Linked DNA regions of Cricetulus griseus. The protein of the gene in region 1 interacts with the protein of each later gene in a biochemical or structural test. Links are inferred from orthologs where the notes say so. Each region holds a gene or a part of one and is shown on either strand. Other genes may lie near its edges. The genes, in order: Areg and S100a4.

Region 1 (4,267 bases):
CTTTGAGTGCATTAATAAAAGCTAAATTAGGAGTAATGTTAACTAGGTGACCATGCAGTGTTTATACAAAAACTTTCTTCTGGTCATTAAGAAGTGCAAGTTAGAAAAAGCCCTCTAGGAGAACAGTCTTAAATGAATATCACTATACTTCATCAGGTAGATTAGAAGTCCAAGCCAAATAATAGTCACTGTGCTGAAGTGTCGCAACAGACAGAACACCCATGGGCATTTAAGCAAACAGACTTTCAAATGAGCTCAACCAACAGTTTCAGCTTTATACACTGAGCTGCAATTCTAAATATTGGTCACTTGCTCTGCTAGGAATTGATTTGCCCTCTGAATGTGTTAATATCATAAGTCCTGGACACCCAATGGTCTAATCTAATCCCCTTTCTCATGACATATATCAAAACAAACAAACAAAACAATTAGAAGCAAGGCACCAAAGTAGAATGGTCATTGAGGTTTATCCCTCCTGTCACTTGCCCAGTCCCTGTCCCTGTATTAGGACACTCACTCACTATTCTTCAGTTCTGGGAGACTCTAAAGGAGGGGAAGGAGGAGGGGGAGGGGAAGCAGAGGAGGAGGAAAATCTTCTATGAAAGTCTTAAAAGAACTTAAAGAACTCTGGAATCCCCTTATCCTTCCTCTAGGGTAGACAGTTCTAGACCTGACTTATCGATAGTCTCTTCTTCCCTCAAAATACAAAGTAAAATGAAGGTAGGGAGCTTTTATCTCTCTCTCATGTAAAAGAAAGGTATTTTTAAAAGGTCTGTTTGGTAAGAGCAAAAGAGAGAAAAGGGGGTCACTAGTTTGGATAAAAATAAAATATACACATACTTGTGTTTCTTTAACATTTCTAGAGGTCTGTCAGTTTTTCTTCTGTTCCCTTATTTGTGTTAAAATGCTTGTTATTTGAACACAGTAGTATGGGGGAGGGGATACAAGTGTTGAGCTACAAGGCCCACAGGAACTGTTAATGACTACCTCTGCTCTCAGAATGGAGGTCATGTGGCACACCTGGAAAAGAACATAGTCCCTGGAATCAAGCAGATTGAGGTTCTAATTCTGACTCAACTGCTTGCTCCCTGAGCCACGTAACCTTTCTGAGCTTCAGTTATTGTGTAAAATGAGAATAATAATTTCTGTTTACCAGAATTATAAAGACTTTGATTAATGCCTTAGACGTATAGGATGCAATCTACAATACTTCTTTAAAGGATATGCAATAGCCACACCTATAAAGCAATTAGAAAACTCGGAAAAGCGATGTTTTTTCTGAAGCCACATTGCTAAGATCAAACCACATCTCATACACAGAATTTTTCCGGTCTCCTCCACTTACCTCTGACTGAATCATCTATAACATAGCCGGATATTTGTGGCTCATTATCATATTCTTCTGAGTAGTCATAGTCCCCTGTGGAGAGTTCACTGCCAGAGGGCATTTCACTTATGGTAGAGACCTCACTTCCCGCAGAAACCACAAGTCCAGTGGCATTGTGGTGCCCAGAAAATGCTGGAATTTTCCCAGAGGTGGTATCATTCAGGTCCAACCCAGCTGCATAATGGCCTGCAGGGAGAGAATAAGAGGCCTTGAGTCTAGGGGCTTTTGTGTCACTGTGTGAGCAGTGCTGGGAGACTTGTCTCCTCCTATCAAAGCAGCTATTGCACTGCACGTGTGCTATTGTTTTTCTGACTGAGTCACTAATGAAAGCAACTTCACAGTTTGCCAAGAGGCAAACTCAGCCGCTCCAATTACAGAGTTTCTTTTATCTGGGTTTTCTTTTCCACAGATAGCCTACAATAATTTCCACAATTTAAAAAGCCCTGCCAAGTCAGTCCAGTAGAATCACATAACAGGCAATGTCTAATAGGCTCTTAGTGCAGGTCTGACGTGCGTGCCTTTCTGCCCATGCTCTCCTGCCTCCTTTTAGCTGATGCTGCATGTGGGGATCCATTTTAACACTTGATTATGCCTGTTGAATCTGTACATAAAATGTTAAAGGTAGTACAATGGTGCCTAACAGCAAGGACTGTTACTATCTTTATCCATTATTATTATGATTATTATTAGCACAGAGAAAAAGTTGAGAGCACCTGGTAACTTTTGGAGAGTTCTGAGTTCCAGTCCTTGCCTTTTCTATTCTTTTATGATTTTGTCTCTTTTCCTTTTTATTTTTTTCTTTTTAAATCTCAAAGCAGCACTGGCAGCGGTGCTTTCAGCCTCTCTCTAGGGCACTTTGAGTCCTCTTTAGGAAGGTAAAAATAAAATACCTAGACACAAGAGATGGAGACAGAAGGCAAGGAAACCTCCTCAAATCCTCTTGGATTAACTACTCTTGCGGAAATTATTTCACCTGTCTGGACTCGGTTCCTCAGCTGTCAAAGGAAAGCCTGGGCTAAAATGACCTCGTAGGTCTCCATCCGCTGGATTTTAGTATAGGTATTCTCACGGGCAGCCTGGTCCTTGGGGCATGCTAGAGACCTCTGTCTGCTGTCTTCTTAGCAAGAGCAACTTCAGCGGAGCGAACTACCGGCATCCGTTCGCCAGCCGGAAAAAATTCGGGGCGTCAAAGGACAGCAGCATTTAAGGGGCTACAGACCAGGTGGCTGCTGGAGGCGGCGGGTGCTCACCTGAGCCTAAAAGAAGCAGCAGCGACTGCACCAGGAGCGCCCGCGGCAGCAGCGGAGTTCTCATTGGTCCCGCGGGCCGGCGGCGTCCGGGTCTCTGCGGCGACACGACGGCTGGGGCTCTGGGCTGCGGGATCAGCGGGAACGAGGAGCAGCGGGCAAGCACTGGCGCAGGGATGCCCAGCCCGCCGGGCTCCGGGCGGCGGGAGCGGCCAGCGCCTCCTGCTCAGCTCGGGATGTCGGGGCGGTGTTCGCGTGTCAGGAGGGAGAGGAGCGAGCAGACTGAGGGTGCGGTGCAGTGAGCACCTGCTGCTTTATAGGCCCGCGGGAGCCACCGCCCGTGACGTCACGGGTCGGCAGTGGGTGGAGGAGGCAGGAGGTTACTACCCCAGAACCGGGCAGACAGACAGCAGCCAGGAGGAAGTGGGGATGGAGCCCTGTCAATGCCGGGATAAATTTTCCCACTCTTGTTCTAAACTGGAGTTGGGAGGAGCAGCTGTCAGCCCAGAGTCTCAGTGCCACAGGGTCTGAAAAACCTCTGCATATTCGTTGATGTTAGCAGGATAACAAGCCAGGGAGATGAAATAGCAAAGTCCCAGGTTAGGGCACAGAACTTTAAGAGCAGCTGTGATTTAGCAAGGTTAGCCTGAAGACTTTGAGGAAGATAAAGGAAGTTAGTTAACTAAATGAGAAGGCACAGCATCCCCACAAGAGCTGGAGTGTGACGGGTTTGCATGGCAGCCTAGGGCCCTTTCCCACCTGGGCTCTTAAAGACTCCAAATGGCCCAAAATATCAATCAAACACTCTCTCCAGGGCCTGGGGACCTGTCCCACCTGGACTCTAATTTTAAGACTCCAAAATGGCCCAGGTATCAATCAGACATCCTCCCCAGGGCCTTTCAAAGCAGTACTTGCTGGCCTTTTGGTGTCACATTAGGTTCTTAAGATTTTAGCTGGGCATGGCCAGACACTGGAATTTAGGAGGTTGAAATAGAGGATTGTAGGGAGAAGTCAAGCTGGGCTATAGAACAAAACCGAAACCCAAACAAAATTTCTTTCCTCCAGGGTCTCACTAACACCTTGCTGGGGTCCTATACTCCTCCTTTTTACAGGCAAATAAAAAGGTAGATGTAAAAAAGCAGAGAGAGTGGATTGACAGCTGCACGCACTCCACGTAGCTTTGCTTCAGTTTAGTTTGGCTCTGAAATCTGTCTCTTGCCACGCTGATAGAGACAGAGCTAAAATCGTCTTTGAGAAGGGGAAGAAGAAAGTTTCACATTTCATGGGAGGGGAAAGGGGGCATGCATGGTGATGTAGGTGGGTGGGCCCCCCCGTTCAGATTAAAAGGATCCAGTGAGGCCCGATTTCTAGCCTCAGAGGGGGCCCTAATGATGATAGGTCTGTGTCTCCAGCATCCAGACTAGAAGATCTTTACTCCCGGGGCCCACCTAGGCTACAGATCAGGCTTGAGGCCTGTTTGAGGACTAGCAGAAAAGACCAACTCAGAGAAACACCAACGGGAGTCTGGAGAATACTTAACATGAAGAAGGAGGAGAAGGAGGAGGAGGAGGAAGGGGCGGATAGTCGCTTCATTGATTAACTTCCATGTTCTAGCAGCCCAGAAATGGAGTTT
Region 2 (4,244 bases), on another chromosome or scaffold:
CCACCTCCCCATCCTTCTGGACTCCTTCCTTGTGACTCAGGCCCGTTGTCTTCCCTCCAGACTCCAACCAGCAACAGATGTGACCTTCAATCCCATCCCAACTTCAGTTTGAGCCCAGAGGCAGATCTGGAGAGAGAAAGGAGGGTGGTGGACTGGCTAACTTCCCACATCTGGAGCCTTTCAAGCCAAGCCTCTGGTGGCTTCTGCCTTAAGTATTCCCAAAGTTTTCTTTGTTGCACGTATGTGCGCGCACACACACACACACACACACACACACACTTGCATGCTAGTTAAATCAGCCACTCAACCCCTACCCAACCCTTTCTAGTTTTGTTCCCTCAAGGCTCAACTCCCAGCTCAACTCCCCGCAGTCCCCACCACTACCCTGTGATATACCCTCCCTCAACACCCAACCCACAATCTCCAGTCTCTTAGGCAACAGCACATAGTTTCAAGACTCTTTATTGAACTCGCTCAGCATTGTGCATATGTATGAAGAAGCCAGAGTAAGGCACTATGCTCAGAGCCAAAAGGGAAGAGCCCCCTCCTCCCGAAGACCACGCCCCCACACTTCATCTGCAGAGTCTTCACTTCTTCCGGGGCTGTTTATCTGGGCAGCCTTCAAAGAATTCATTGCACATCATGGCAATGCAGGACAGGAAGACGCAGTACTCCTGGAAGTCTACTTCGTTATCCCTGTTGCTGTCCAGGTTGCTCATCAGCTTCTGGAATCCTGCTTCATCTCTCTTTTTCTGGGAGTAGAAGAAGAACAGTTAGAAGCCAGACCCAAGCTAGATCTCTGCCTCCAGCCAGGTGTTCAGGAACACCTGAGTGCCTCTGGGCACTCAGGAAGCCTTGGGACTAAGCTATGTAGAGGAGGATGTGCCCTAGATGCGGGCACTTGAGGTAGCTGGGAACGGGGAGGACCACATCTTCTCCTTGTTTGCTTTAATTATCTCATTAGGTAGCAGCCATGGCAGTGATGCATTAAATTAACTAATGCAAGGTGTTATTGAGGAGAGACTCTGCAGGTGTTTGTGTGCCTCCACCATCGTGTCTTCACAAACAGAAACTCAATTTCTCTTGCCAACAGTCCTGATCTAGCCTGCAGTTCAGACACTGACTATGTTAGGCAGTTGTTTTGCTTTTTCTCTGTCTCTTCGGTTGTGTTCATTCTAAGCCTTCTCTCAGCTGAGGGCTAATGAGGGATAGATGGTTCACTGTGGTTCCACACCAAGCACCCGGAGCAAGCTCTCCAACCTCCATTTCCCCACCTTAGAGATATACGCCAACTGTAGCTAGGCACTACCTACCAGAGTCCCAACCTCCTCCTGGGGATGCACCACACATGAAATACACAGGCAGGACCCACTCACCCCCAAAAAGCTAGGCAGCTCCCTGGTCAGCAGCTCCTTCAGCTCAGACTTGTTGAGCTTGAACTTATCACCCTCTTTGCCTGAGTATTTGTGGAAGGTAGACACCATCATATCCAGGGCCTCTTCTAAGGGGTATTCCATGGTGACAGTTGAGAGCTAGGGGCAGGAGACACAAAGGTAGCCTTACCCAACCCACACCAACAGTGTATCAAGAACTGGCTATGTGGCACTGCTCATCACCCAAGTCATAGACTCATTCTGCCCCCATTTTAAATGCTCCATTCCAACCTACCCTCTAGGAACACTTCAGGAGACTGTCCTCATTCCCAGAGAGATCAGAGGAGTGGGACCCACTAATGGCAAGATGGTCGTGTATGCTTTGGGCTCTGAAACATGCAGAGCCTACCATACAATCTCTGGAGATTCGTGCCAGCAGCTTTTGGGCTGACTGTCCTCGGGCCTGGCCTCAACAACAGCAGTTTTCCGTCCTTGCTCAGCTCAACCACAAGCACCAGGCTCTGGCCCGTTCTTCCCCCTCCCAGCATTGGGCGCGGCTGCTGGCTGCCTGCCCATGGGCCCACAGCGGAAAAAACCCAGCTGCCTATTGACCAGCTTAGTGAGGAGTGAGATGAGGTGGCAGAGGTAGGGGCACAAGGGGAGGGTGGGGAAGCCAGGCTCTCTTGACCTGGGGTGCTGGATGTCCATAAGGCACTAATATGAACACAGAAGTCTACAGGTGAGTGCTGGAGTGGTAGCCTGTAAGTAGAGGTGCCTGCCACTAAGCTTGATGGCCTGAGTTTGATCCCCAGAGCCCATGGTAGAAGGAGCAGACTGACTCCCTCCCACAAGTTGCCCTCTTACCTCCACAAGTGCACCTTGGCATGAGCCCCCCATCCCCAACCCACGCATGCATGCACACAAATAAATAACTGAAGTTTAAACGTTAAGAAGAAAGCCTACATGTTCCCTCACTTTGCTTCCTGCACCTGCTTTCCCGCACACACTGGCTTGAATGACCCAGCAAACACCCATCAGGGTACCTATCCATGGCTCCCAAACACAGATGTACACTGTAGCAACAACACGTGTAAGCCTCAGCATCTTAGAAATCTTGAGAGCTCAAATGGCATCTATACACCTTTTTGTTGCTGTTTTCATTCTTGTGCAACACACACAGACACACACAGACACACAGACACACAGACACACAGACACACACACACACACACACACACACACACACACACACACACACACACACACACAGCCTCCACATCAGAATCTCTCATCTGGATCTAGTAAAAACATCTGTCTCCCCAGAAGCCTCCCTTTCTCCTGTCCCAGCCTCAGCCTCTGACACCACTAATACTGCTATGAAGCCAACACAACTCACCAGACCCAGAGAGAGGAAGTGCTGAACAGAGAGGTTTGGGGAAAGCTCAAATGTCTGCCCTATTTATACTCTGCTGGGCCCTGCCCATGCAGGGGATGGGGGGAGCTTGGATACTATGTTCCTACTGTTGGCTGATGTAGTAAATGTCACAGGCCCCTCCACCAGCCCAACCTGAGAACCAAGCTTCCTACTACCCAGCAGGCACAGGCGAGCATTGAGTAAGCCCCAGTGGACACGAGAGACCTGAATGGTGTGGATACCACCCAGTAGCCACAGCTCAGCCAACTTTTAAGGAAGCTTTGAGAAGGGGCAACATGGGCATGGGATGTGGGCCACAGGAAAGAAGATGGGGAGGTGATGGGCAAGAGGGGAATATGGAAATGTATGGCCCAGGAATTGGGGAGGTGACCCCGGCCAGTGGGACAGTCAGCCCTTCTCTCCAGCCTAAACAGCTCTCTGTCACGCTCAGTAAGACCCAGAGTGAAGACTGGCAAGTCGGGAGGGGCCTTGGTACCACCCTAGGTATTAAGTGGGAAACGCCTAAGAGGGCGTGATGGAGTTAGGGCAGTAATGAGGCCTCGAGGTTCATGAATGGGTAGAAGGTCCAGGGAGGGTATTGGGGCTGATGGGAGCATTCAGGTTTGAACACTCAGCTTGGAGAAGAGAGTTACAGGAGAAACAGGTAAAATGGGGAGTCAGGATTAATCTCTAAGGATGGGGTACAAATACGGGGATTGAGCAATGGTCAGAAATGGGAACTTGGGACCCTCAGGGGCTGTGGTTTCAGAGATGAGGACTGACTCAAAGTATCCCTTTCCCCTTGCAGTAAATACAGAGGCTCCCTCCCTGGCTGGCAGCAAATACCTCAGAGGCCCCAATCCTATTGCTACTGCTCTCTGGTTTCCCACAGCTATGCCACACCCATACCCACATACCTCGATGCTCTAATCACAAGTACTGAGTTTCTCCCAAGGAGCCTCTTGCCCTCCTAGAAAGCCCAAAACAAGGGCTTCCACCTCAAGACAGGGGACAGAGAGATGGAGACAAAGACCCCCAGCCTCACCTGATGGGGACTTGTAATGGCCCCACCTTCCTACTGAATACTGAGACTTATGCATTCCTATGGGGTCTGGAACTGCCTTTAGGGCCCCTGCCTTCAGCTGCCTTCCTCCAGCGATATGGAACATAGAGGGGTAAAGACTCCCAAGGACTCAGTCCCAAAATCCAGTGTGTCCCATCAGAAGAACCAAACCAAGCCAAGCTGACATTTCTTTATTAGGAGTTGAGCAGGCCCCTGCCACAGTGTGCACATGGCTGAGCCTCCAAAGTGAGAGAGCAAATGTTCTCCCTTCCAAGAAGAGAAGCTACTGTTCCACCCCTCACTACTTTGACATCCCTAGGAAAGCTTCTACTGTGCATGAGTAGCCAGGGTTAGCACATCAGGGACCTGGCAAGCCCCGACTGAAAGGATACCA

The links.
Region 2: the proteins of Areg (region 1) and S100a4 form a complex in vitro, tested with the Homo sapiens proteins (2 studies listed by IntAct, with this or other methods). The link is inferred for Cricetulus griseus from reciprocal best matches to the Homo sapiens genes AREG and S100A4.

Annotation. Positions count from the first base shown.
Region 1 is NW_023276807.1:155,907,893-155,912,159, reverse strand, and holds the start of Areg (amphiregulin), read right to left. Parts: upstream 2,932-4,267; 5' UTR 2,702-2,931; coding exon 2,638-2,701; intron 1,574-2,637; coding exon 1,346-1,573; intron 1-1,345.
Region 2 is NW_023276806.1:63,942,312-63,946,555, forward strand, and holds S100a4 (protein S100-A4), read right to left. Parts: upstream 2,927-4,244; 5' UTR 2,770-2,926; intron 1,730-2,769; exon of another isoform or gene 1,669-1,729; intron 1,533-1,668; 5' UTR 1,518-1,532; coding exon 1,377-1,517; intron 753-1,376; coding exon 588-752; downstream 1-587. UniProt on the Homo sapiens protein: Calcium-binding protein that plays a role in various cellular processes including motility, angiogenesis, cell differentiation, apoptosis, and autophagy.